Linked DNA regions of Cricetulus griseus. The protein of the gene in region 1 interacts with the protein of each later gene in a pairwise test. Links are inferred from orthologs where the notes say so. Each region holds a gene or a part of one and is shown on either strand. Other genes may lie near its edges. The genes, in order: Rnf40 and Ncbp1.

Region 1 (14,702 bases):
ACGAGTGGCATTAAGCACTCACCGTTTACGGCCACTAACCAAGAATTCACTGTTGAGAGACCCCTATGCACTGCGGCCAGTTAGGCGCCTAATTGATAATTGTGCCTTCCGGCTCTATGGGCATTGGGTGAAGAAGGGTGAACAACAGAACCGGGCAGCCCTCTTCCAGCACCAGCCTCCTAGGTCTTTCCCTATTATGGCCACCGAAGAAGAAGGGGACTCCAACACTATCACAGAGGATGAGGCTGCACTGGTGCTAGCCTAGGACTTCTTCCCTGGCAAGCCAGAAAGCAAGACTCTCCAGGAGGAGATTTTTTTTTTTTTCTTTTTTTAAATCATTCCAGCCTGTTGGGACTCAGAGCTTAGCCCTGCCTTGCCAAGCCTACCACTGATAATACTACTCACCACAGAAACCAGCCCTCTACCTCTACCAATCCTGGACTTGGAGATCAGGGCTGAGATGGAAGGGAACATCTCCCAATGAGCCTGGCCTTGTCATCGCTGTCTGTGCTGCGTCTGAAATAAAACTGCTACAAGCCTGGGAGAGCCAGTGCCCAAGTCTGCTATCTAGTTGCACAGGGAAGCACAGAAGGTGCTCATGAAGGTGGGGGGTGGGATGCTCTGGCCCAGGTCTTTATTGGAGAAGATGCTGGGGATCACTTGGTCTTGGTCTTGCCTTTGCTGGGAGGTGGCTGATAGGGCCGCTCCAAGGCCGCCAGTTTGCTGCTCAGCCTTTCCTCGCTCTCCTTGAGCCGCTCCTCCACCAGCTGCTGGAGCTGCCTCAGCTCCTTGCTCAGCTGGGTCTTGATATAGGTTTGGAGGATGCACACCTCACCTACAGGGAGAGAGGAGGGTAGGAGAGGTGTTATCTGGGGATGAGCTATGCAAAGTGTTGCTTCAGTTCAGCCATGTTTCTGAGACAGACGGCTGGGCAGAATGGGCAAAGTACAGATTCTTACTGTACTTTAGTCTGACATTGGGCAGCCTGTCCATCGGCTTCTTCATGACAAACATGGATGGGAACACTTCCTTGACTGTAGGATGGAGTTAATATGCACAGCACGTTTAAAACCGGGCATCCTGGGACCTAGCTTACCAGATCTGTACTTGGTATTGTCAACCACCCCCATAGCAACACCCCAGCAGTTACACTATAATCTGGACTTTTGCATAAGGAATTACTTAGAGAGGGGACATGGGGCTGGAGAAATGGTACAGTGGTTAAAGGGGCTGACTGCTCTTCCAGAGAATCTGTCAGCACCCACATGGCAGCTCATAACCATCTGTAACTCCAGTTCCAAGGGCATTCAGACCTCTTCTGACCTCGAGTACTACACACGTGTAGTACACAGATATACAGGTAAGCAAAATTCTAAAACACATAAAATAAAAAATAAATCTCAAAAGAAATTTTAGGGGACAGCAGAACTAAAACTTAAGTCATGAGCTTGGTATGGTGGAGCACCTGTACAACCCCATCACTCAGGAGGTTAGACAGGGGGATCTTGAGTTCAAAGCCAGCCTGGGCTGCACAGCAAGACCTTGTTTCAAAAAATAAAAAATAAAATTAAAACAAGGGCAGGAGGGATGGTTCAGCGGTAAAGAGCTTGCTATGCAAACCTGACAACCTGAGTTCAATCCGAGGAACCCACATAAAGATGGAATGAGAACGGACTCCCAAAGTCCTCTGATCTGCCACACACACATTCTCATTCTGTGTCTCTCTAATAAAACAAAACTGGAGAGATGGCTCAGCAGTGAAGAGGCAGAGGCAGGAGGATCTCTAGGAGTTTGAGTCCAGCATAGTCTACATAGCAAGTTCCAGAACAGGCAGGACTAAATAGACACTGTCTCAAACAAAGGGGGTGGGCTGAGAATATACAGTTTAGTGGTAAATGCTTATGCAAATGGCTGTAATTTCATTCCCCAGTATTACAAAACCAAATTGTGGGGGTAGGGGAATGAAGATTCAAATAGACCCAAACCCAAATTTGACCTTAGCACAGAGTCCCAGGGCACCTTAACCCCTCAGAGTACTCACTTGGCTGTTGCTCTGGCTGGGTCACAGTTTCTGGTTCTTCCTCCTGTGGAGTAGCTGCTTGTTCTGCCAACACCTCGCCTTCTTTCTCTGCATGCCAGAAGCAGGAAGAGGCCTTAGTCCCTGCACTGCCCAGTCCTAGCCTGTCCCATCTGTACCCATCTTACCTTCTGGCCAGGGCTTGGGTGGCTGTAGCCCTATGTAAGTCAAAGATAGGTCCAGCCGAACCTGGGGAGACACGGGAAGAGGAGGCTGAGAGAATAGCACTGCCCATAAGAGAAGGGGAGACAGGTGGCCATTCACTTCCTGTACACAGTACCTGGGGTGTGAAGACGTATTTGTAGAGCTTGAAGTGGCGGAAGTAGGTGTTGATCACATAGTCTGCCAATGCCAGCAGCTGTTCCTCTTTAAAGAGATCGATGCTAAAAGGGGGCCGCTGTGATGGCAATTATAAGTTAAGTGCCCTGGCAGCCTCCAGAAGTCTACCTAGCTCTTCCTCCAAAAGCATGGTATCTAGAAGCAGGCAGACCCCAGGGGGCCTTCAGAGGAAGAGGAGGAGAGTAGTGGGAGAGAACAGGAATTTGGGCTAGATCTTACCCTGACTCCATGGCAAAAGAGAACGCTGGTAAAGTAGCGGTAGCATTCCTCCACATTGCCCAAAGGGGTAGCTGGAAGAAGACAAGGTGAAGCAGTCAGGTCCCTCCTACTCTCCTCTCATCCTTTGACCCCACTCCTTGTAGAGCATGGAATTCAGAAGTGGACAGATCTAGGAGTAAGGCCTGGCTTGTTCTGTCAATTCACTCAACAAATACTAAGTTCTCATTATATACGTTTCTAGGCACTGAACAAGACAGGCAAGGTCCTTCCCTCTGGTTTGGTTTTATTTCTGGGACAGTGTTTCATTTAGTAGTTTAGGCTAGTCTGAAACTCAATGTGTAACTCAAGTTGGCTTCATACTAATGGCATTGCTCCTGCCTCAGCCTCCTGAGCACTGGGTTTTCAGGCTTGAGCCCCCCATACTTGACACCAGGAAGCTACTTTGTTTGTGAGACAGAGTCTGCTTTTGCCCAGGATGGCCTTGTAATTGAGGATGACCTTGAACTTCTGATTCTCCTGCCTCTACTTCCTAAGTGCTAAGATTATAGGTGTGTGCCACCCCACTGATTCATACAGTGCTGGAACTGAGCTCAGGGTTTTGCACATGCTAGGGAAGCACTCTAACTGGGCTACATCCCCAGCCCCCTATTTATATATTTCCCATAACATCATTACATGTGTTTCCTTTTTTGATAAAGAAACATCTCAAAGGTGATAAAATGTGGTACAATAATACTAGTTAATGGTGGAACAAAAATCCCAGATTGTAGTCTCCCTATTTCTGCTTCCCACAGTCACTTGTCCTAGCCCAGCCTCCTCTCCTGGGGCTCAAAGCTTTTGGTGGCAGCCTCCCTCTCACCAACACAGGCCTTGTGAAGATCTTGGAGCAAGGCACAAGCTGCTGATGTCTGCTCTAGTGAAAAGCCCTGCTGGCGGCAGAAGATGAGTGCATGGGAAAAGAGGTCCAAGATAATGGCATCCCGTAGGCTCTGCTCAGGACAGCCAAGTTCCAAGAGCTCAGCCAGAACCCTTGGGAGGGAGAGGAAGGAATGAGTGACAACAGGAGCTCCCCCCCCTCACCCTCACCTTAGGATTTATTTTTATTATACCGGTGTGGGTATTTTGCCTGCATGTGTGTTTGTCTACCACGTGTTTCTCTGGTGCCCAGGGAGGCTAGAAGAGGGTGTTGGGTCCTTGGGAACTGGAGTTACAGACCATGTGGGAGCTGGGAACCAAACTTGGGTCCTTTGGAAGAGCAGCCAATGCTCTTAACCACAAGCCTCCTCTCATCTCCATCACCTGACAATCTATGCTTTAGCCTGCCATCCCTCATGGCTCCCCTCCCGAGAACTCTGTCTGTCCCAACTCAGACCATACTCTCTCATCTCTTCCACAGTGACTGCCTTCTCCAGTCTGTGCATAGAATGGATGTCCAGGTATTTCCTGTCAGGAAAAGATGAGACAAATCGTTGATAGCTCATATAACTTCCTTGATGGGACTGTGACTTCTAGGGCATTGGATTGGGAATCAGGAGTTGAGGCTAGTCTAACTTACTAAGCACCCTTTGGAAAGTCATTTTTTGGGCCTCCCACTATAAATGAGGAAATTCATGGTCTAGGATCTAGACTCTTGATCTAGACCCTTAGGAGACATTTTATTTATAAATCCAATGATTAGAAACCTTGAGTTCTTGTCTTGTTGTGTGTGACCATGGTGAAGTCCCCCAGGGCCTTGGCATCAATCTGCACAGTGTTCCATCATGCTTACATGCTTGGTACTTGTCTGTTTTCTCACACTGCCACTTTGGACTGAGCCTGGAACACTGGTGACTTGGTCACCTTGAGCATCTCTCAGCTCAGTCTCTTCATCTGTAAAATTGGGGTGCCCTGGCTGCTGGACAAGACTGTTGGGGAGACCTTAAAGGAATAATACAAATGAGAAGTGTAATTTTTCCCCAGGGCTCTCCACACTCACCACATACAGATCCGGGGCTGGGGTAGCGGTGGCTGTGGAGAGAAAACAGATCACGGCAAGAAGAGCTATTACAATATGTAGAGCCTAGTCCCTGGTCCGTCGTGAATGTCTAGCGGGTCTCAGAATGCTATAATTTTATGTATAATAAAGGGATCGAGCCTGGCGTTGGTGGCACACGCCTTTAATCCCAGCACTTGAGAGGCAGAGGCAGAAGGATCTCTGTGAGTTCGAGACCAGCCTGGTCTACAAGAGCTAGTTCCAGGACAGCCTCCAAAGCCACACAGAAACCCTGTCTCGAACCCCCCCGCAAAAAAAATAAAGGGGGCGAGGCCGGGTTTTACTAGCCTATTAACATGGCAACTCCAGAAATGCCTCGGATGCTAGCAAAAGTAATGACTGTCAGTGCCTTGCGGGGAAATCTTTTATAAATATTCATTAGTGGACAGCTCTGTCCGGCTCTCACCGGGAACAAGTTGGCTCCAGGATCTTCAGCCACTCCCACAGAGGTGGAGGCCTCGGCGGTGGACTCGGTCTGCACGTCTGTTTCTGTCCTTATTACCGATCCACCTTCCGACCTGGCACAACTCTCAAGATCCTGCTCCAGTTGGGGAAGCTGTTCAAATTCCGACTGCATCTTAACTCCCAGGACCTGGCTGGATTTGGGGCTGATCATCTTCGCTCTTCTGAGGCACAGTCAAGTGCTCTCTCGCCCAGGCTCTGGGACGCCCAGCTCTGTCACCGCAATGCCCGGACCTGCCCCTTCTAGTGGTTCTCACAAGCGGTGAAGCCGGTGGCAGCCAATCCGCAGGGGGCGTCTTCCCAGTCCAGTCTCCCCGGTGACCGTTGTTAAGCAAAGTAGAAAGTACAAGCACTCGCCAATCATTGAGAAGTTAGAGCGCATGCGTAACAAGTTGCACGTGCCTCTTCAAAGTTGCTTATTGGGGGTCCCTCTTTTTAAAGATTTAATTAAAAAGAAACTCTGTGTGTGTGTGTGTGTGTGTGTGTGTGTGTGTGTGTGTGTGTGTGTGTGTGTGTGTGTGTGTGTGTGTGTGTGCGTGTGTGTACGCGCGCGCGCGCAAGCACGTTCGCGGGAGTCCACGGAGGCCAGAAGAGAGCACGTACCACCTGAGTCTGAAGTTGCAGGCGATCGTGAACCGGGTTTCCTGAATAGCAGCAGGAAAGGCTCCAACAGCAGATCGGCCTCTGTATTCCTATACTGCAAAGTGCAACTGCGGGCTCAGTAACTATGGGAACGGCCTACTGGCCAATCACTGAGAGATACACAGTCGATCGCGAAAAAAACTCAAGGACTCAAGAGGCGGAACCTAGAGCCACCAATAGAAACAGGAAATAAGTTTCGCCACATCCGGAGCTGCTCTGACGCCTGCGCTGTGCGTCTGGCGGCCGGTGACGTCCGGTGAAGTCCAAGATGGTGGCGCTCGGCTGACCCTACCGTGGGTGCGGACCCTGGGCCAGCGGGGGCGGGGTCCGGCAGGTGTGTCCCCTGGGACGCTCGGGGCTGCGGAGCCCCGGACGCGTCCGTAGTCTGCCCTCGGTTTTCTGCAGGTGACGGAAGTGCCGCCTCCGCCCGCCCGCCCGCCCGCTCGCCGCCCGCCGGCCCGGGAGAGCCCCGAGCTGCCCAGCAGCCACCGCCGCTATGTCTGGCCTCAGCAACAAGCGCGCCGCCGGCGACGGGGGCTCAGGACCCCCAGAGAAGAAGCTGAACCGCGAGGAGAAGACCACGACCACTCTGATAGAGCCCATTCGTCTCGGGGGCATCTCTTCCACGGTGGGTGGGCTTTTGCTAAACTCCTGCTTGACCTCAGCCCAAAGCGCTCAGAATCTCGTGTGTGCACGTGTGTATATACGCAAAACGGGGGTGCGAGTCGGGTGGGGTGGGTGCGGTGGGCGTGCCGTGGGCGTGCCACGGCGCGCGTGTGATCAGAGGACAACTTTGTGGAGTCCTTCTCTCCTTCTACTCACACATAAATTTCTTCTCGTAAGTCGTGCGATCAGTCAAAAACTTTAGTTAGAAAAGAAGTAGAAACAGAATATGAAGCTCTCACGACCAAGATATTTTCTCTGTCTGTGTCTGAGTCTTTTTAAATTTCACTGGTTGCTATCCTTAGTATGCCTCTCCGCTTTCAATCTAGTTGTCCTCCCCTGTCCCTGGGATGGTTCCAGTCCCTGCCTGACACTTCTCTGCCTCTTCCCCCCTGGTAGGAGGAGATGGATTCCAAGGTACTGCAGTTCAAGAACAAGAAGCTGGCCGAGCGGCTGGAGCAGCGGCAAGCTTGTGAGGACGAGCTGCGGGAGAGAATTGAGAAACTGGAAAAGAGGCAGGCCACCGACGACGCCACGCTCCTCATCGTCAACCGCTACTGGGCCCAGGTGAATGCCCGAAGATCGCCCTGCTGGGAAGGCACCGAGGCTTTCATAACCTCTTTGGTTCTTTCTTCTTTTAGCTGGATGAGACTGTGGAAGCCCTTCTCCGATGTCATGAGCGCCAGAGGGAGCTGTCCTCGGGAACTGAGGCACCTGGGTGCCAGGAGGGGCTCACTCGTGATGGGATCCCTCGGACAGACCCAGGGACCTCAGATCTGAGGGGTAGGACAAGAGCCCTGGGGACCTTAATTTCTGAAAAAAGTCTTGAGGTGGCTTTGGTGTTGGGCTGCTGAAATGCACCCTCCCACACAGCTGTTTAAAAGTTGATTTCATACCCGATGTAGTGGTGCACACCTTTAATCCCAGCACTTAGGAGGCAGAAGCTGGTGGCTCTCTTCTGGAGTTCAAGGCCAGCCATGGCTACACAGCTACACAGAGAGACTGTCTCAAAGGCAATTTAAAAAACACAATTAAATGGTGAGCAAGAACAAAATTTTGGAATCAAACTGAGTTTTCATAATCCCAGCATTCTGGAAGTAGAAGCAGGTGGATTTCTATTGTTTCATTTATTTATTATTTATTTATTTATGCTTTTTTTTCGAGGGAGGGTCTATGTCACCCTGGCTGTCCTGGAATTCGATCTTTAGACAGGCTGGCCTCAAACTCAGAGATCCTCCTGCCTCTGCCTCCTGAGTGCTGGGATTAAAGGCGAGCGCCACCAAAACCAGGCCTCTGTTATTAAAAAACAAAACCAAACTGGATACTAGTCTTTGGCATTCTTTTTTTTTTTTTAAGATTTATTTATTTATTATGTATATAGTGTTCTGCCTGTATGTATGCTTGCACACCAGAAAAGGCACCAGATCTCATTACAGATGGTTGTGAGCCACCATGTGGTTGCTGAGAATTGAACTCAGGACCTCTGGAAAAACAGCCAGTGCTCTTAACCTCTGAGCCATCTCTCTAGCCCATCTTTGGCATTCTTAAACACATCACAGATATAAAAGTAAAAAAGAAAACAAAATGAGTACTCAATTTTGGAATTATGCTAGACATAGAGGGATCAGAGGTAAGCAAGAAGAAATATATTGTTGCCATAAAGGAAACTATAAACCATAGTAAGTAAAAAGTAATTGGCATTGTTATAAAGGAACAAATACGGCAGGAGGCTGGGTTCTACTTTAGATTGAGAGGGCAGAGGAGCCTTCTGAAGATGTGATGTCGCTGATCCTTAAGAAAATTAACTTGCCAGGTGGTGGTGGTGGTGGTGGCGGCGGCGGCGGCGGCGGCGGTGCACGCCTTTAATCCCAGCACTCAGGAGTTAGAGGCAGGTGGATCTCTGAGTTCGAGGCCAGCCTGGTCTACAGCGTGAAGGAAAAAAAAAGGAGGAAATAAAACTGTTGTCAGGCATGGTAGTGCAAGTCTTTTATCTCAGCACTGGGGCCCCCAAGGCAGCTGGATCTCAGTGTGTTTGGGTGAGGCCAGGGCTATATAATAAGACCCCATTCAGAAAAGAAAATTACTTATTTAAATTTTAGGAGTCTCCCTGTCAAGAAGGGACAAGAGTACTCTCCAGGTTGTATTAATTAGGTTAGCCATTGAGATTAAAGCACTCATTGTGGAACTTGGTACAGTTTGATGGTCATTGCTGCCTTTATTCCTATGGGGGTTATCTGTCCCTTCCAGAACCCCTGCCAATGCAGTTTCGAACCCCTCTCAGTGAGCCAGCATTGGCTTTTGTGGTGGCACTGGGTGCCAGCAGCAGTGAGGAAGTGGAGCTGCAGCTGCAGGGACGGATGGAATTCTCCAAGGCTGCTGTGTCTCGGGTGGTGGAGGCCTCGGACCGCCTACAGCGTCAGGTGGAAGAACTCTGTCAGCGAGTATACAGCCGAGGTTAGTTCTCTAGACCCTCTAGAGAAGTCCATCCCCACCTGCATCCTTAGGAGTCCCCCTCCCAATCTCAGTAATTCTTGGATGTCAGAGTTCCCAGTGAATAGTCAGCCTCATTCTTGTTGGAACAACTTAGTTCAAGATGAGATCTCAGCTTTGATTTCTGAAATGGGACTCCAGAGGGATGGCTGGCTGGAGGAACTGTTGGTCCTGGTAGGGTCACACCCCTGCAGTGAGAGGGCTCTCTGGGACACTGTGCAAACCTTAGAGGCAGCTATTGTCCCACTAAACTGAGAGGCAAGTACCCAGGCTTTTTGTGGCAACAGCCTTCTTTCTCCCATCCTTAGTTCTCCCTACCTAGTATCAGCTGTTTGGATAAATGGTTCCTTGTCTGAGCTAGCTTCATCTCCTGGGTTTGTCATAAGCAATTGGTGAGACAGCTAGTTCACACACTCAGCATGTAAACTTCAGGATTAGTTAATGCTTGCTTGGTTACCCAGGGCTTGACTCTCATCTGGGCTCTGCATTCCTAGGGGACAGTGAGGCCCCTGGGGAGGTAGCACGGGTACGCACCCGGGAGCTGGGCAGAGAGAACCGTCGACTACAGGACTTGGCCACTCAGCTACAAGAGAAGCACCACCGCATCTCACTGGAGGTGGGAATCAGATTCTTGGATGCAGTTAGAACTGGAGCAGGGTTTGGGTTTGCCATCTAAGGATCTTAGGAAGCCAAGCCACTTTCCATTGCCTGCAGTACTCTGAGCTCCAAGATAAAGTGACATCAACAGAGACCAAGGTCCTGGAGATGGAGACGACAGTGGAGGACCTACAGTGGGACATTGAGAAGCTTCGCAAGCGAGAACAGAAGCTCAATAAGCACTTGGCAGAGGCCTTGGAGCAGGTACAGGAGTGGATGGAGCCCAGTTGAGTACCTGGGGCCCTACCTTCTGCCCTTCACATCCATTGTGTCTGTTTTCTCTGCAGCTCAACTCTGGCTACTATGTGTCTGGCAGTTCCTCGGGCTTCCAGGGAGGCCAGATCACACTTAGCATGCAGAAGGTGAGCAGCAGTTCCCTCGGGTCCTTCATTGCAGGGCAACCATCTGTATCTGAGTCTGTAGCTGACAGTGTTGCGCCTTCTCCTTTCATTCATTTATATACTTACTAAATAATTCCAGAACTTAAGTGCCAGGAACTAGGCAGATTAATGAGGATGAATGAAAACCGGAGCTTTAGTTGACTTTATCTTGAGCACCTCTCTCTCTCCTTAATGTTGTACTTGAGTCTGTTTTTGCAATCCTTTTATGTTTTCTTTGTTTTGAGGCAGGGTCTCATGACATAGGCCAAGTTGGCCTTAAACTTGCTGTGTAGCTGAGGGTGACTGATTCTTCTACTTTTGTGTCCCAAGTGCTGAGATTATAGGCTTTGAACCACCATACAGCTTCAAATCAAATTGTCAATAAACTCCCAACTGTTCCAATAAAGCTTCTATGGAAGTTAGGTTCTATTCGGAGGACATACAAGTAATAAGCACTACATAAGTTGGTAATTAGTAGAATAAAGAAAAAGTACAAGGAAGATATTCCCATGCAGGACTGATTTTTCTCCCATTTCCTGAGAGCCAAAGGAAAACCCTTGGTTTGGAGTTTTCTGTCAGTGCTCTTGCAGGGGGAGCTTGGGAGGACTGGATGGAGGACTCTTAGGGGAGCACACTGCCCATCCTGGTCTTGCCTACCACAGCCCCTTCCACTCCTTAGTTTGAGATGTTGAATGCAGAGCTGGAAGAAAACCAGGAATTGGCCAATAGCCGCATGGCAGAACTAGAGAAGCTTCAGGCTGAGCTTCAGGGGGCTGTTCGGACCAACGAGCGTCTCAAGGTAGGCTCTGGTTGAGCTGAAAGGGCCTCCACTAAGCCTCAGATCCTGGTGCTAATAAGACCCTTTTGGACATCTTCACCCAGGTGGCCCTGCGGAGCCTTCCTGAGGAGGTAGTTCGTGAGACCGGGGAATACCGCATGCTACAGGCCCAGTTTTCACTGCTCTACAATGAGTCTTTGCAAGTGAAGACCCAACTAGATGAGGCCCGGGGGCTGCTGCTGGCCTCCAAGAACTCCCACTTGAGACACATTGAGCATATGGAGGTATGGTCTTGGAATGAGTTGGGGCTGGGGGTGAAAACTAGACCTTTAGAGTTGACATTCCTGAGCTTCCATGGGTCCTTGTGTACCTGCTAAGAGTCCTTTGGGCATAGATTCTTCCGTGGCCAGAGGTAAGACTGGGATGTGTTTTTCTTCCAATTTTAATCATTAACTCTATTATTTTAAAAGTATCATTATAACCACCATAAATGGTTTATCTGTAAGACCTGGGCTAAGAGAACACTAAAATCACAAGCACGGTGAGATGAAATGGGACTTGATCCATTGCTGCCAAAGAGTTACTTTTTCTTCTTCTTTTTATTTTTTTATTTTATTTTTTTCAATACAGAGTTTCTCTGTGTAGCCCTGAATAGCCTGGAACTCGCTCTATAGACCAGGCTGGCCTTGAACTCACAGAGATCCACCTGCCCTGCCCTCCCTCCACCATGCCAGATTTAAAGGCATGCACCACCATCCAGCTGAGTTACTGTTTCTTTAATAATCAGATGTAAAGTACCAGAGTAGAAAACAAGCCCATTAAGATACAAACTGGTTTAATGACTATAGAAAGGAGCTGGTGGTCAGGCAGTGGTGGCGCACGCCTTTAATCCCAGCACTGGGGAGGTAGAGGCAGGTGGATCTCTGAGTTCAAGGCCATCCTGGTTTACGAAGCTACACAGAGAAACCCTGTCTTGAACCACCACCCCTCCCCCCCAAAAAAAAAAAAAAAACGCAGCTGGTTGTTCTGGTAGCAAGTAGTGTGCATTAGAGCAGTGTCCGTGCTGGAAACCGTTTTCTGCTTGGGTATTAATTGGATGCAGACCACACCCATAGAAAGAGCTCCTTCTAAACCCCTTCAGCACCTCTCCCTCCAGAAGTCACAGAGTTAAGAATGACTCAGGCATTTCCTGGTAATGGCATTTTACAATTATTTGTTTCCAGCCAATTTTAATATTTTCTCTAAGAGAAGCATTGAAAACACAAGGAAAGCCTTCAGAGGCCAGTTTCTACTGCGCATTTTCCAGGTAGCAAAACAGCAACTTTATATGGCAATGGAAATAAATTTTAGTTTATTCCTGTTAATTTTTAATCATATTAACATTAAAAGAAACTGAGCTGGATTTCCAAAAAGAAATATTAGTGCCAAATATTTTAGGACTTGTATTAGTTCTACATGTATTAGTTCTTATTTAAAAAACAATAAAAAGACTAAACCAAAAAAAAAAAAACTAATGATGTTATATATGTATGTATGTATTATTTAAAGTTTTCATGCATGTGGGTATTTGCCTGTTTGTTCATCTGTGTACCACTTGTGTGCCCCTGAGGCCCAAAAAGAGCATGAGATCCCCTGGAACTGGAGTTACAGACGGTTAAATCACCATGTGGGTCCTGGGAATTGAGCCTGGGTCCTCTGTAAGAGCAGCCAGTGCTCTTAACAACTGAGTGATCTCCCCAGTGCTGCTGCCTCCTTTTTAAATTTTATTTTTAGATATAAGTGTTTTGCTTGAGGGCGTTGGTAGCACACGCCTTTAATCCCAGCACTCAGGAGGCAGAGGCAGGCAGATCTCTGTGAGTTCGAGGCCAGCCTGGTCTACAGATCGAGTGCCAGGATAGGCTCCAAAGCTACACAGAGAAACCCTGTCTCAAAAAACCCAAAAATAAATAAACAAATAAATAAATAAGTGTTTTGCTTGTATATATGCATGTGCAGCACAGTTTGCCTAGTGCCTACAGAGACCAGAAGAGGGTGTTGCATCCCCTGGGACTAGAGATACAGAGGGTTGTGAGCAGTTATATGGGTTGGAAATCAAACACAGGTCCTTTGGAAGAGCAACCAGTGTTCTTAACTGCTGAGCCATCTCTCTATCAAGGTGTCAGAATGTAGGCTTGGGTAGCCTGGGACTCACTATATAGACCAGGTTGGCCTCCAGTGTAAGTCATCCACAAGCCCTTGCTTCCTGAGTGCTGGGATTAAAGGCATACACCATGATGCTTGGTGTATTTATCTATCTTACGTTCGATTACTGGAGTCCTTTTTTTCTGGAGAGATAGAAGATTAAGTGACCAGTGCTAGCTTTATTTCTTTCTTTTTTCTTTTTGAGACAAGGTTTCTCTGTGTATCTCTGGCTGTCCTGGAACTCACCTTGTAGACCAGGTTGGCCTTGAATTCAGCTTGTGCCTCCCAAGTTTTGGGATTAAAGGCATGTGCCACCTCCGTCTGCCAGCTTTATTTCTTTGTAAGCAAAAATTAGGTCTTTTCATTAGTATGGGGGTAGGATTCTCATACGGTTGTGTCTTTAAATGCCTCGACCCACAGAGTGATGAATTGGGGCTGCAGAAGAAACTGCGCACAGAAGTGATCCAGTTGGAGGATACCCTGGCCCAGGTACGAAAGGAGTATGAGATGCTGCGCATTGAGTTTGAACAGAACCTTGCGGCCAACGAGCAGGCTGGTACGTGGTGGGATTGGGTAGAGATAAGCCTAGAAGGGTGCTGGAACCTTGCGGCTGCTTATCTAGATTTAATGAGGAGCTTTTCTCCGAGTCTCCATTGGCCACAGAAAACAGGCACTACACTCACTACCTGTGTCACTCCCAGTGTCATAGCAGCTGGGATGGGAAGTTGAGCAGGTGTCACCAGACTGTGAGCTGGTCTAACCTCTGAGAGATTTGTCTCACAAAGATTTATTGAGTACTCCCTGTGAGCCACACTCAATGCTAGGTTTTGGGGTTCTGCCAATAAATGAAGAATCTCTGCTGTTGTGGAGTGACTCTAGTAAACTCTAGGGTGATAGACGACAATAAAAGAAAAACCATGGAAGATTCCTGTAGAGGTGAAGCAGGGACACATCAAGATGCTTGTACAGCCTTTAATCCCAGCGCTCAGATGGCAGAGGCAGTGGATGTCTCTGAGTTTAAGGCCAACCTGGTCTACAAAGTAAGTTCCAGGCCAGGTAGGGTGTATAGGCAAAACACATGAAATAAAAATGAATCTTTTAAAAAAAGGTATTGTTCCTCCCCACCCCCATCCCTTCCGCAGCTGAAAAGATATCTCAGTAGTTAAAGAACATTGACTACAGCCAGGCGGTAGTGGCGCACAGCTTTAATCCCAGCTTTTGGGAGGCAGATATCTGAGTTTGAGGCCTACCTGGTCTACAGACTGAGTTCCAAGGTAGCCAGGGCTACACAGAGAAACCCTGTCTCTGGGAGTTGAAGTCAGGGAAGGTTGGGGTGGGGAAGAACACTGACTGCCCTTCCAGAGGACTCAGATTTTATCCCAATACCCACAATTCTCAGCAGTCCGAAGTCCTTTTCTGGCCTCTGGGGGCACTACAGTACACATACATTGTGCACAGACATACATGTAAGTAAAACACACATAACAGGATTAAAGCCTAATGCTTATGTGTATAAGTATTTCGCTTTCGTGCATGTGTCTGTGCACCTCATTGCATGTGTGCCTGGTGCTCACAGAGGCCAGAAGGCACCAGATCACCTGGAACTGTGAGCTGCCACGTGAGTGGCAGAATTTCCCTTTCTGTACAATGGGAGTATGGGCTCTGCTTGGCTTCTTTCCCTTCTGGGGAGTTGGAGAGTTAGGAGGAGATCGTCCTACATACCCACTTTCTGACTTTTTCTCAGGGCCTATCAACCGTGAGATGCGCCATCTGATTAGCAGT
Region 2 (14,758 bases), on another chromosome or scaffold:
CCCATGAGTGGATCACTGGGAAGATGTCTGAACTTTAAAAGAACCTGCCAAACTCTTTTCTGGAATGGTGCGACCATTTCTACCCTCACCAGCAATGAGTGGACATTTTAGTTGCTTCACCATGTCACCTGTATTTGCCAAGGTTGGCCTTTCTCCTTTTTTTGCCTATTTTAGTGAGTTAACTGTAGTATAACGTTGTGGTTAGGAAATATCTTAAAAGCAAACCAAAATACAGAATAGGAAACTTACCAGCTCAGCTCATCAGGGCTAAAGCGGCTTATATCAGGGAGCCAAGCAGACACTTCCTGACTAGGAGTGAGATAGTTTTTCGGAGGGTTCTGTCTGTCTGCGGATGTAAGACTCTGTGAAGCACTCAATGCTGCAGCTAGCTGCTTTAGAATAGAAGCTGTCTGATGGTGAACTTCTTCAGCGTGCTGTGTTGCCACATGTCTGTGGATGCTGGTCTGGTCTGCAAATACCTGCTGACAGCATCTCCACCATTTTTCTTTAAATTCATGAGAAGGTGATGAAACTTGTTTGGTTTTGACAAAAATGGCAAAGGCCTGTAATTCACATTTCAAATAACACCATTATTTAATAGCTTTAGGTTTAGGGTTAAGTTTCACTCAATCTCTTATACTACTTTTTATGTGGTAGGGGTTTTAGTTTAGCATCCTGCCAGTCTACAAAGAATTCCAAGAGCAAGAGCATGGGCTTGTATTGCTTCCAACAACCCATACACTGACTCTGGAGTAGTAAGGTATGTTTCATATTCTGGCCTTCCACACCTGAGCCTTCAACATCTACGTTCTGCACATGACGTGGACATGGACAAACCCGGACACCTTATTGCTTCCACCTTCCAGAGAGTCCTTGTCCACCCTGTCCTCTGAGATGGGAGTTTACTCTGGTTCCTCTAAGACAATAGTTCTCAAACTTCCTAATGCTGTGACCCTTTAACACAGTTCCTCATGTTGTGGTGACCCCAACCATAAAATTATTTCATTGGTACTTCATAACTGTAATTTTGCTACTGTTATGAATCGTAATGTGAATATCTGATATGCAGGATATCTGGTATGTGCCCCCTAAGTTTAGAATCTCTGCTCTGTGGAATCACTTTTAAACACTCAAGAGTTCATTGCAGAGGCCTCTTCTGACATCAATCTGTTGCACTCCCACTAAATACTATTTCTCTACTTTCTGGACATAAAATTTTCTATTTTCATGTTTGGTTCTACTATTTACCTTTGAAAACAAATGTGAGGAAATAATACAGCCTGTAGGTGCCAAATTTCTACTTGGAAAAGTAAATCAAAGAATTTCATAAATGTTAAGCAGCATAATAGAATCATGTCCTTGTCTAGTACAGAACAGAGACACAATGACTCCCAAGTGTTTCCCTATCCTGCTTCCAGGATCATCGTTTACTATTTCTTTTACAATCTTATTCAAATGTACCCATTTATTCACTGTTCCTTAATGTTACTCGAACACCCCTGCCCTCCCAGCCTAGCTTCTGCTCAGCTTACTGTCTGGAAATACTCTTCTTTTGTAACTTACCAAAATCTTATCTAACTGAAAAGATGCCCATTCTTCAAACACACATTTAAGGCAACTACAGCTCAAATCAGACAAGTACCCCCCAGGAAACTGGCAAGACTGTTCTGAAGTAACAACCTCTTACTACTCAATCATCAAAATCCATTTTCCTTTCTTCCTGGGAAACTGTTTCCTAGCCTTTGGATTAAGGCTGTACAACTGTTTCCCAATAGAAGTGACACGCCACAACGCCACTTCTGGTCCATAAAAACCTCCCATATGTGCTCCTCTGTGCTTGCTCACTCTTCAGCTTTACTGGAGTGGGAACTTTGGAAATGTGCTGAGGCCTGCAGAGGTGACATCAGCCTGGGTTCTTGCAACCTCTGTGTTACTAAAGATGCCTCATCTCCCATTTCCCAAGTCCAAACTCCTAATGTGCTCCATCCACTACAGGTGTGAGGCCAATTGTTCCTGGAGCCTCTGCCACCACAATGAATACATTAGGAATTTCTACAAGACTAATGAGGAAGAACACAGAGCAAAGGTATCAACACATATGTAACAAAAGCAAAAGGTGGTGCACACCTAAGTCCCAGAAGAAGCAAAAGGATCTCTGTGAGTTCAAGGCCAGCCTGAGTTCCAGGCCAGCCAAGGCTGCAAAGTGAGACTGCCTCCAAAAATAAATAAATACATAAATAAATAAACATTTTCAAGTCTCTTCTTTCACATCCTATATCCAATCCAGCAACTCTACTTCCAAATACACACAAAGCTAACCATTTCTCCCTTGGCTACCACTCCATAGATCCAAGCCACCATCACTCTTCCCTGGATTGTTATAATAGTTTCTTAGCCTCCTCTTTTCCATACTCATCACCATTTGTTTTCCATTCAACTGAAATGTTTCTTTTAAAATCTAGATCAAGCCAGGCATGTGACATGTGGATCTCTGAGTTCAAGGCCAGCCTGGTCTACAGAGCAAGTTCTAGGATAGCCAGGGTTACACAGAGAAACATTGTCTTGAAACAACAACAAACAAACAAAAAATACGAACAAAAACCTAGAACAGGCGGGCATTGGTGGCACACTCCTTTAATCCCAGCACTTGGGAGGCAGAGGCAGGCGGATCTCTGTGAGTTTGAGGCCAGCCTGGTCTCCAGAGCAAGTGTCAGGATAGGCTCCAAAGATACACAGAGAAACCCTGTCTTGAAAAACCAAAAACCAAAAACCAAAACAAACAAACAAAAAACTAGAACAGATATCATTCCACTGCTCAAAATTCCCCAAAGGCTCTCCTCCTATCCTCTAGGAAGTCCCCATAACCTAGTTCCTTCCACTGTTCCTATCCCATCCCATTTCCACTTCTTGGCTTTGGCTCAAACCTAGCATGCAGGCATCTGTAATACCTTCAGACTTTGCACTGGATTTTCCTCCCTCCAGTGTCTGTACGGTTTGCCATTCTTCACATTTTCAAATCTCACCTATTGACAAGGACTTTTTCTGGTGAGAGAACAAGCTAAAATTTCTTTAAACTTCTCTAACTTTTCCCTATGAAACTTATATCATTTAATATATTAAATAGTTATTTATAATTGTATTACTATAGTACTAGTTTGTGGTTATCTATTAAAGTTCCTATTACATAGTTATTACATAATTATTACCTATATATAAAGTCTTCTATAAGATGACTTGAGTCTGCCATAGATACCTAGCCGGGTGTTGGTGGCGCACGCCTTTAATTCTAGCACTCGGGAGGCAGAGGCAGGTGGATCTCTGTGAGTTCGAGGCCAGCCTGGTCTCCCAAGGCTGGATAGGCTCCAAAGCTACATAGAGAAACCCTGTCTCAAAAAAAAAAAAAAAAAAGCCAAAAAAAGCATCAAGTGTGAAACTATACATGCATGTCAATGTATGCTCTCAACTACAAAGCAGGTGAAAGGCCTAAGTCTTATTGGCATTTAGTTTTTATTGTCAATATTTTAAATATTGCTCCCCCCACCAAAGGCAATATAAATACTTCATTTTTATTTGTATATTTTTTTTAGTACTAAGACTAAATTTTTTCCTACATTTTCTGATTTGTTAGTTTATATGTATTGTCTGTTTTCCTTTTTAAAAATTTTAAACTTTGTATTATAATTGGGGAGAGGGGCACATGGCATGGTGCACACTTGAATGTCAGAGAACACCTCTATAGAGTCAATCCTCTCCCTCCAGCTCTACATGGATTGTGGGGTGGTGTTAGAGGTGAATTGCATCACTGATGAACCTTCCTCAATTTATGCTAGACTGGCTCTGGAGTATGCAGGGCGGGGCACAAGTAGTCTGAAATGACATTCTAGGGCCTTTTTAGTGTTTCCTTTAGTTGATCCCTCATGACAAGCAAGAAGAAAAGAAGATGGCACTGCTATTTCCTTCCCAACCACTGATGAACTAAATGGGAAAAGGGGAAACCTTACAGTGAGGAAACCTAGCAGACAATTTCCACCAATATCCAAAATGAAAGGATCTGTAACAGGAACATCAGCACGTGGGGCACCTGAAACAATGTGTTAACATGAACATGGCATTTCTTCCAGGATAGTCTTCCTAAAGAAGCAAACTCTGAATCTCATAGAAGGAAATATCAGTCAAAACCAAAATGAGGGTCCATCTACAAAACAACTTATTTGTAATTTTCAAGAGTGTGATAGCTATAACTTGAGAGAAAAATTCTAGTGTTCTAGTTTAAAGACCAAGTTGGACATGGTGGTACATGCCTGTAACCCTAGCACTCGGACTACTTGGAAGGTAGGTATGAGTTCAAGGTCAGCATTGGTTACATAGTCAAAAAGGAAGGACTAAGGTGTGGCAACCAAACCAAGGGAGTGAGCACTGTAACTGGCTCAGTTTCTGTGTAACCAGGGGAGCCTCCTGCATTTGAGACAAGTGGTGAATGTGAATGGAATCTCTGGACAAGGCCAGTATGTGTATCATTTATAAAGTTCTCACTCTTCTGTAAGTCTGAAATTATTGCAAAATAATACTGGTAAAGGACCTTTGTAACCTCTGAATTTCATTTTCAAGAAAATCTGTATGGGACTGACTGAAGGTGCAGCAGGGAAATTACAGAGATATTTATTCCACACTGACATAGAGTCAAAAAGAGGCTCCCTAAGAGGACCACAGGCTGAAGGTGAGAAAACTAGGTCTCAGCTACCCCTCCTTAGTCAGCCAATGGTTTCAACAACAAAATACATGGCACTGATGAAGGGCATCACCCCCACTTCTTTATAGTGCAGGCACAGTGTTCTCAGCAGCTGCAGCATCCTGCGATGCTCTGTTCTTTCTTCAAAGCACTGAGCTACCTAGATGAGACCAAGCTTTTTCCCCACCAGCAACAGGCTCAGTAACAGCCTCACTAGAAGCCAGCTGACCTATTACCTGTCAGTCCTCCTTATACTACGGTTCTGAGCTCCTAGGATTCTTCTACACCTGAGTAAGGAAAGAAATTCATCCTTCTTGACCAGGACCTGGAATCCTAAAACATTCCACCATAACTACATTCCAAGACTACATGCTGCTAGAGACTAGACTAAACAATAATCTATTTCTATATGTACTTTACTATCTATATATATATATTTACTAACTAACTAACTAACTAACTATATATATATACACATACACGATCATGAAATCACCGACAGCAATTTACCTTTTTTTTTGCAAATGAGTATTTCTTCTTTATATTGCCATCTAACTCTGCTTTGAGACTGTTGCTGGGGTTAGTAAGATTTGATTCTTTTAAATCCAGATCAGAAAACTTTAAAACGCAGGTCTCCAGGCTATCTCCTTCATCTGGTAAAGTGGAAGAAGGCATCTGGATTGATCAGTGGGGCAGATTTCTTTCAGTATCTTCCTTTCAAGTATCTTCTGAGACGTAAGAGAGAAAATGCAATGCTCAACTTTTAGGTACTTGTGGAAGCAAATCAATCGTGCAAATTAGCAGTGGCCACATAACCCAAGCTATCCATTCATAGCTCACTTAATAGTATTTATGTGACAACTATGCTTGGCCAAATACCCTTCTACACACTGGGAATAGAGCAGTAAATGCAACAGGAAAAAGTCTATTTTACAATCGAGTGGGAAAGATACGCCAATAAACTGATTTTTTAAATTTAATATTTTAAAGAAAAATTAGCAGAGGAAGGAGGCAGGTGAAAGGGCTCTTTATACACAAAGGGGTAGGAAAAACCTTTCTGAGATACCATTTTTCAAAGAAACATGAATTAGGAAGCAAGCCATGTTAAAAATGCTAGGTGGATAATAGAAGGAAAGCACTATATACATCCCAAATCAACCAACGCAAGTGATACTATGGCTTTGTTTCTTTTGTTCTCAAATCTCAGAGCCAAAATTTCAAAATTGCTACTGTGGCCAAATCTCACCAAAATAGATACAACTATAACTAATGAACTGTTTTCCTTTTAGTTACATTTTATTTACTTTGTGTCTACTTATGCCTAGACTCCTGCCAGGATATGGACCTGGAGGAAAGGGGACAACTTTCAGGAGTCAGTTCTCTCCTTCCACATTTCACAGGGTCCACTGATCAAAATCATGTCCACAGGCTTGTGAATCAGGTGCTTACCTGCTGAGCCATCTTGACAACCTCTATTTTTTAAAATTCATTTTTCTGAGACTGAGTCTTGCTGCATAGTACAGGCTGGCCCTGAACCCCTAGTAATTTTGAATTTGAGATTCCCCTTACCTCTACTTCTAGAACACCATGCCACCATACCAGACCCTAAGCTTTGCCTTCCTTTTAAAGTCAGCAGTCCACTCTGAACCGAATTCCCCAGTGCAAGGCTCCAGCATTTCTTGCCTGAATTACTGATGCTTAACTACCTTCTTGGAAGACTTTTCCAAAGTCTGAACCTACTCAGATAATCTGTCCCTGCCTCTAATCCCAACTTGTACCACTCTTCCTTTGCTATTAGGTCAGACCACAATGGCTGTGGTCATTTCTGAAGGGGTCCTTCAGGACTTCAGCTCCAAAAGAGCAGAGGCTTCCTTTTGCTCACCTGCAGCTTCAGTATCCTGAACACTGTACAGAAAGCAACAAATGTTAACTAATACAATATAGTGCTTGCTGAATGAAATAAAGCAAGAGTTTAAGAGTCACAGAAATGCCGGGCGTTGGTGGCACACGCCTTTAATCCCAGCACCCAGGAGGCAGAGGCAGGAGGATCTCTGTGAGTTCGAGGCCAGCCTGGTCTCCAGAGCGAGTGCCAGGATAGATTCCAAAGCTACACAGAGAAACCCTGTCTCAAAAAAACAAAAACAAAACAAAACAAAACAAAAAGCGTCACAGAAATAATTCTGTAGGCACCTGATGGTCAGCCGTGTAGATTTCAGAGCAGAGATCATCAGGCAAAGGAAACAGTTAAGGCTTGATTCCTAAAATGTAAACAAGCTGAACTTATCAGAAGAACATAGTGGTTCACACACAGCGATGGGGACAGAATCTAAGAAGTCATAGTTTGGAGTTTGCAATGGAAATTCTAGGAGAGTTGGAGGGCATATGATCAAGATGGATGGATAGATAAAAAGAACAGATGAAAGATATTCTCTAACAAGAAGAAAGGGCCGGAAAGATGGCTCAGTGGTTAAGAGCACTTACTGCTCTTGCACAGGACCCACGCATGATTCTGGCCCCACACAACCGCCCTGCACCCACATGGAAGCTCACAAATGTATGAAACTCCAGTTCCCGGGGATCTGATGCCCTCTTCTGGCCTCCATGGGCTGCTGCACAGTCGGGCACAAACACATAAAACAGTCATATTTTTAAAGTCCGTGAAGAGTTTTAAACATGGTAGTAGGTTTCATTAATGGACTTGCTCTCAAAGTACAGCGGGCAGTGTCTGTGAAGGATCTAATGACTCCTCCCTAAATTCATGGATTAAGCAAGCGACAGAAACGGCCTTTTACTGAAACCGGTAAGACTGAACGAAGAGTTTCGGCCAGACCATAGACAAGGCAGTTTGGTGTCCATCAAAGACATCAGGGCAGAGGGCGTCCACATACTGCACACGTGCAAAGGGACAGAAGAACAATTGGAACCAAATCGATCAATTATCCGCTGCCTCCTCATCCGTCAGCTGGGAGAGGTAGGCGGCAAGAGAACCATGAGCAGGCTGGGCCGTGCGGGCTTGACTTCCCCACCGCTGGGGGGTGCCCTCCCTACCACCCCAGGTCTCCCGAGGCACCTACGGCCGGGCGGCGAGGGTGAGAACACATACCCGCCGGTCCTAGGCCTTTCCTGGGTCTCCCTTCACCAACTTGGCGCCGCTCCCCGCCCTCGAGCCCACGCCCCCCGGCGCGCGCGTGCGCAGAAAGTCCCTAGGACGTCACCTCGCTCCGGAAGTCTCCAAAGCCGTCGGCGCAGGGGCCGCCGGGAAAACACCGCGAGTTCCCAGTGCAAAGCTGAGGCGGGATCTCCGGGGCCGGGACTATTTAGCTCGCCATCTGGAAGGCCCTAGAGTAGAAGGCGGGAGGAGGCGCCTGTGTGCGGACCTGCAGACGCCGGCCTTTCGCCGCGGAGCCCACCCGGTGCTTCTCCGCTGGCGCTTCCGGCAGGCGTCGTGTGCGAGTGCGCCTGCGCGCCGGCCAGTCCGCGCGCCTCGCCGCTGACCGCGCACCGGCCGGCCGGCAGTCCGACGGTTCTGGTGTTGCAGGAGACTCGCTGCTCAACTCGGCTGCGCACCCGCGAGCAGCATGTCGCGGAGGCGGCACAGCTACGAGAACGATGGTAAGTGCCCCCGGCGTGGCCGCGGCCCCGGCGTGAGAACGGGGGCCGGGCTGCTTTGGTCCTCGGGTCTCTAGGGAACGGATAGGCAGCCCTTTCTCCCCGGGAGGGTTCTGGGAGCCCGGGAAAAAGCGGCTGGAGCGGCTCGGGTGTGGCTAGTAGCTTCAGGAAAGCGACAGCGGCCCCGCTGCCCCCAACTCCTTCAGTCATGGGGAAGGAAGGCCTGGTGAGCCCCGTGGGCAAACCCGACCTGGTCTCCGCCGACACTTAAGACTTGATCACTCATTCCTGAGCGTGGAAATGCACGAGTGTCTGATCTTGCCCCTTAGGATCAGTGACGGTTATCTAGTGGACCAGTGTTTTCATGTTATCCCTCCAGGGTGCACCTGGAAAGGACCCTGGGAAGACAGGAAAAGAACAAAGCTATGGCAGGGGACGGATGAATTGCAATCTGAGCCCTACTCTTCTACCAGCCACCCATTGATTTCCTACTTTTAAGCTTCAGGGAAAGAATTTTGCGTCTTACCATCACCCCAGAGTCACTAATAAACACTTGCTGTTCCGTAGGATTGGCTTTAAGCCTGTTCCTCTGTATAAGAAAATGCAGGCAAACTAACCTGAACAGTCTAGTAGTTCTCATGTCGGTTTGATAGTCGCCAGCAATGAGGTTGTTGTGTTGCCATCATAAAAAAACAAACAAACAAACAAAAAAAACAAGCTCAATGCTGCACCATTACTGTCCTTCAAGGACTCAGGCACATAGGAGAGTAAAACTTGGAGCTCTTGATATTATATTGAATTACGATTGAGTGTGAATGGTTAAAACAAGAAAGACTTTTAGAACCTAAGGGTTTATGTTCAAAGCTAGACATCTGCTATTTATTGTGTCAGGGTCACATGATTTCCTAAGTGTATATACCTGAGTGTATAATGTGGAGTACTATTAAGACTTTTGGTTTTTATGAGGGTTAAATGTGATACTGTGCTCAAGATTAGTTCATGATGTTTATCAACTTTTAATGTCTCAGAGACACCAACACCCAGCTTGTTGTTTTTAACATCGTGGTTTCTTGTGAATTGCATATACAGAACACAGGAAGTAATTTTTTCTCTGCTTTGTATTTGATTAGCGTACTAATCTGCTTTGGATTAGAGAATTTGTCCTTGGCCTTTATCTCTTCTTCTTCTGATTCTCTTTGCTCATCTTGGACTTCTTTCCATTCTTTCCCTCACTTCCAGGGTACCCCTAAAGTGAGGGGGAAATGTTACTGGAGAGCCAACTGGAGAATTAGAGTATAAATATATAGAAAACCTCTTGTTTTGGTTTAGGAGGCTTTCGTAAGTTTTTGGGTGTAGTTGGCTTTTTTACCCCAGCTAGCAGCTGAATCATTTTCCCAGTTGGGTCTGACTACAGAAACCTTAGAATAAATAGGACAAAATGATGTAAAATTAAGCTTTACTCAATCAAAATTCAGTGTAGCAAATCATTGAGTAGTAGAAAGGCTGTTTACAGCTCCTCCAATAGTACACATATAGAAATATACATTATTAAAGTTTAATAGAGTTCAGTGATCTAAATAAAAAATGTGATGCCTTTTAGTGAAGTATCTACAATTATTTATTTATTTATTTATTTATTTATTTATTTTGGTTTTTCCGGACAGAGTTTCTCTGTGGCTTTGGAGGGTGTCCTGGAACTAGCTCTTGTAGTCCAGGCTGGTTTCAAAATCACAGAGATCCGCCTGCCTCTGCCTCCCGAGTGCTGGGATTAAAGGCGTGCGCCACCACCACCCAGCTAAAAGGAGGAAAGGAAGCATATTTATTTTACATCTATGTATTCTTTTGTGTTTTGTTTTGAGACAGAGTTTCTCTGTATTGCTTTGGAGGTTATCCTGGAACTCTCTCTGTAGACCAGGCTGTCCTCGAACTCACAGAGATCTGCCTGCCTCTGCCTCCCGAGTGATGAGATTAACAGTGTGAGCCACCAACGCCCAGCTGGGTGTGATGAGATTAACAGTGTGAGCCACCAACGCCCAGCTGGGTGGCTGTTTTTAAAGGTGGCTAGAGATTTTAAAGATATCAAAGTTAAACAGATCTGAGGATTTCTGGGTTATTGTCAGCTCTACTCTGACTTTCCTTATACTGGGCTGGGTAGCCCTGGCCTTCTGCATCTTCATTCTCTCTCTTGAATCTGGCAGTCTGGTCATTTCAAAGGAAAAGCCCTCAGTACCAAACATGTGTACTTTCCCCCATGTTATTCCCTAAATGATACAGTGTCACAGCATACATAAATCATGAGAAAATACCAGCACCACTTTTGTTTTTTTGGTTTGGTTTGGTTTGGTTTGGTTTGGTTTGGTTTTTCGAGACTGGGTTTCTCTGTGTAGCTTTGGAGCCTATCCTGGCACTTGCTCTAGAGACCAGGCTGGCCTCGAACTCACAGAGATCCGCCTGCCTCTGCCTCACGAGTGCTGGGATTAAAGGCGTGCGCCACCACCACCCAGCTAAAAGGAGGAAAGGAAGCATATTTATTTTACATCTATGTATTCTTTTTTGTTTTATTTTGAGACAGAGTTTCTCTGTATTGCTTTGGAGGTTGTCCTGGAACTTTCTCTGTAGACCAGGCTGTCCTCGAACTCACAGAGATCTGCCTGCCTCTGCCTCCCGAGTGATGAGATTAACAGTGTGAGCCACCAACGCCCAGCTGGGTGTGATGAGATTAACAGTGTGAGCCACCAACGCCCAGCTGGGTGGCTGTTTTTAAAGGTGGTTAGAGATTTTAAAGAAATCAAAGTTAAACAGATCTGAGGATTTCTGGGTTATTGTCAGCTCTACTCTGACTTTCCTTATACTGGGCTGGGTAGCCCTGGCCTTCTGCATCTTCATTCTCTCTCTTGAATCTGGCAGTCTGGTCATTTCAAAGGAAAAGCCCTCAGTACCAAACATGTGTACTTTCCCCCATGTTATTCCCTAAATGATACAGTGTCACAGCATACATAAATCATGAGAAAATACCAGCACCACTTTTGTTTTTTTGGTTTGGTTTGGTTTGGTTTGGTTTGGTTTGGTTTGGTTTGGTTTGGTTTGGTTTTTCGAGACTGGGTTTCTCTGTGTAGCTATGGAGCCTATCCTGGCACTTGCTCTAGAGACCAGGCTGGCCTCGAACTCACAGAGATCCGCCTGCCTCTGCCTCACGAGTGCTGGGATTAAAGGCGTGTGCCACCACCACTCGGCCTATCAGCACCACTTTTGACATCCTCAAGTTTTGGTGTCTGAGTTGGAGTCTCATGGATACCAAGGACAACTATACAATATAATCAGGACTTGCTAAGAATTTCCTAACTACTTGCAGTACAGTAGCAGACAGTATAACAGTGGAGGCTCCCTTCCATATATCAATACAAAACCCAGTGTAGTGTAGTTTATCATATGATCACAGGATTGTGGAGAATAAAGTGAATTAAAGGGTACAGGGACCAAAGTGAGAGAGAAGGGTAAGGCCTCCCTGCAGATGTCCTGTGACTTGAGTGATGTAAGGAACAAGCCATATGGATGTTTGAGAAAACAGAGGTTGAAAGGAAACCATGAGTATAATGTTAAGCTTTCTTTTTCTTTCTTTCTTAAGATTAGAGCATTTCTGACATGTTCAGAGAACAGTAAGAAGATCATTGTTGGTAGAATAGAGAAAATAGGGTTAGAAGTTATGAGAGATAAAACCAGAGAGTTTAGCCAGGTAGTGGTGCATGCCTTTAATCCCAGCACTTGAGAGGCAGAGGCAGATGGATCTCTGTGAGTTCAAGGCCAGCCTGGTCTACAGAGTGAGTTCCAGGGCAGGCTCCAAAGCTACAGAGAAACCTTGTCTCGAAAAATCAACAAAGAAAGACCAGAGAGTTTAGATGAGGCTCTTAACTTACTGGGCCATTTTAAACATTTCTGTTAGGACTATATCTTACTGGGGATTCATAGAGGTAGTAGTAGATAGCTAATCAATCAGTAAAGTTCCTGTAGTTTATTTAGAGAAACAGAAAGGACTATCCTAAATGGAAAGTACCAAATGTAGTTCAGTCTTAAACACTTTTGTTGTTTTTTGAGACAAGGTCTCTATGTGGCTGTCCTGGCTGTCTGGAACTATGTAGTCCAGGCTGTAACTACTGTGGTCTGGCTATATAGACCAGGTCGGGTGTACCTACCTTCCCCCCAAGGTGTGGGCCACCGTGTCTGGTAGTGATAGATAATGTCTCTGAACCTCTTCATTTACTGTTGGATATGTATTTTATCAGTGTTAAGTATACTATTTTTATGGTTAAAAGGACTTCTTCGTCAGAAGTCCAGAAAGCCTATTTAATCTAGGTCTTTATCTTTTAGACAGTGACTGATGTTTTTAAACTTAACTATAGAAAGAAAACTTGAAGAGAAGTGGAAGGTTTGTTATGCTGAAGGATAGTATACTTTGTTTCAGATTTTTTTGTTTTTGTTTTTCTTTTGTTTTGTTTTGTTTTTGTTGTTTTGTTTTGTTTTTTGAGACAGGGTTTTTCCCTGTGTAGTTTTGGAGGCTGTACTGGAACTAGCTTTTGTAGACCAGGCTGGTCTGGAACTCACAGAGATCCATCTATCTCTGCTTCCCGAGTGCTGGGACTAAAGGCGTGCACCACCACCACCCAGCCTGTTTCAGATATTTTTAATCAATTTAGATTTTTGTTTTAAATCTGTAGTCAAAGTATATTACTTTTCTTGGCTGAGTTTTATTTTTTCTTTCATGGTGTTGTTTTTTTGTCTACATTGTGGATCCAAATTACACATCTTATTCTCATAAGGGTATAGGAAATAGTACAATGTGTCCTTGTAATATTAGGTTCATCTTGCAGTGAGAAAATGATTTGGTGTCTGTGGGATTTTTTTGTTTTGTTCTGTTGTTTGTTCCACCACCACCACCACCCGGTTTCCCTGTATAGCCCTGGCTGTCTGGAACTAGCTGCATAGACCAAACTGGCTTCAAACTCAAGAGAGATCTGCCTGCCTCTGCCTCCAGAGTGCCAGGACTAAAGGCGAGGGCCACCATTCCAGGCTGTTATTTGTTGTCTTAAGAGCCCTCAGAGTGGTTGTTAACAAAGGTCTCTTTTCTGTACTAGATAAGCGCAGAAAAGATAAAGCAATATGTTACTTTAACATATATTGAAAAACTTACATTAGCCCTGTTTTAAAGCCTGTTTTGGATTATGGTACCACCATAGACTTGTTTTTCTTTTATTGTTCAGGGTATGAAAATGTTCAACCAATTCCCCAAAGAGTGTCTAAACTATCTATTAGGGCAGTGGTTCTCAGCCTTAAAGCTTCAACCCTTAATATAGCTTCTCATGTGGTGACACCAACCATAGGATTATTTCGTTGCTACTTCATATCTGTAATTTTGCTGCTGTTATGAATCGTAATATAAATATCTGATATGCAGGATATCTGATATTTGACCCCTATGAAGGGTCGTTAAACCCCGAAGAGGTTTGGACTCACAGGTTGATAACCTCTGGCACTTTACCCACCGAGCCACCCCCATTTCCCAAACAGTATGGATGTTGTATATATGCACATGGGTGTGTGTGCCATGTAAAGGCCATTGGGTGCCCTCCTCTATCACCCTCTGTCTTACCAGACTGAAGCTGTGACTTAACATTTTGATTGGCCAGCGAACCCCAACAATCCTCATGTCTCTGCCTCCCATAGTATTGTAGTGGGAGGTACCTGCATGGCTGTATTTGCTTTTTTTTTTAAGACAGGGTGTTCTAGTTAGGATTACGATTGCTGTGATGAAATGCCATGACCAAAACAACTTGGGGAAGAAAGGGTTTATTTCAGCTTATACTTCTAGGTAATAGTCCATCATTGAGAGAAGTTAGGCCAGGAACCTGGAAGCAGGAGCTGATGCAGAGGCCATGGAGAAGTGCTGCTTACTGGTTTGCTCAGCCTGCTTTTTTGGGGGCGCGGAGGGGAGCAGGGTCTCTAGATAGCTCTGGCTGTCCTGGAACTCACTATGGAGACCAAGCTGATTTCAAACTCAAGAGATCCATCTCCCTCTCCCATTCAAGTGTTAGGATTAAAGGTGTGCTCTACCATATCTGGCTCAACCTGCTTTCTTATAAAACCCAGGACTACCAACCAGCCCAGGGGTGGCACCACTTGTAATGGACAGGTCCCTCCACTGTCAGTCACTAATTTAAAAAATGTTCTGCCGGCTTGTCTACAGCCCAGTCTTGTGGAGACATATTCCCTATTGGGTTCCTTTCTCTGACATCACTAACCTGTGTCAAGTTGACAAAATTAGCCGGCACAATTGACTCCTTGTCAGTTTGACATACTTTACTTAAGACATAACCTTTCCCTTTTTTTTCATCTCCAGTATCTCAGATTAATAAATAACACAAATAT

What was found.
Region 2: the proteins of Rnf40 (region 1) and Ncbp1 interact in binary tests that used the Homo sapiens proteins (3 or more experiments, as listed by UniProt). The two-hybrid records come from large-scale screens. The link is inferred for Cricetulus griseus from reciprocal best matches to the Homo sapiens genes RNF40 and NCBP1.

Annotation. Positions count from the first base shown.
Region 1 is NC_048596.1:73,160,819-73,175,520, reverse strand, and holds the start of Rnf40 (E3 ubiquitin-protein ligase BRE1B), read left to right. Parts: upstream 1-6,046; 5' UTR 6,047-6,267; coding exon 6,268-6,399; intron 6,400-6,833; coding exon 6,834-7,001; intron 7,002-7,075; coding exon 7,076-7,217; intron 7,218-8,681; coding exon 8,682-8,888; intron 8,889-9,418; coding exon 9,419-9,540; intron 9,541-9,638; coding exon 9,639-9,785; intron 9,786-9,868; coding exon 9,869-9,943; intron 9,944-10,640; coding exon 10,641-10,760; intron 10,761-10,843; coding exon 10,844-11,023; intron 11,024-13,340; coding exon 13,341-13,476; intron 13,477-14,664; coding exon 14,665-14,702. Other genes in the region: Phkg2 (phosphorylase b kinase gamma catalytic chain, liver/testis isoform), read left to right, coding at 1-265; Ccdc189 (coiled-coil domain-containing protein 189), read right to left, coding at 657-835, 2,042-2,128, 2,206-2,266, 2,358-2,474, 2,636-2,706, 3,495-3,664, 4,013-4,078, 4,611-4,642 and 1 more.
Region 2 is NC_048595.1:97,285,433-97,300,190, reverse strand, and holds the start of Ncbp1 (nuclear cap-binding protein subunit 1), read left to right. Parts: upstream 1-8,081; 5' UTR 8,082-8,307; coding exon 8,308-8,341; intron 8,342-14,758. Other genes in the region: Tstd2 (thiosulfate sulfurtransferase/rhodanese-like domain-containing protein 2), read right to left, coding at 250-563, 5,240-5,404. UniProt on the Homo sapiens protein: Component of the cap-binding complex (CBC), which binds cotranscriptionally to the 5'-cap of pre-mRNAs and is involved in various processes such as pre-mRNA splicing, translation regulation, nonsense-mediated mRNA decay, RNA-mediated gene silencing (RNAi) by microRNAs (miRNAs) and mRNA export.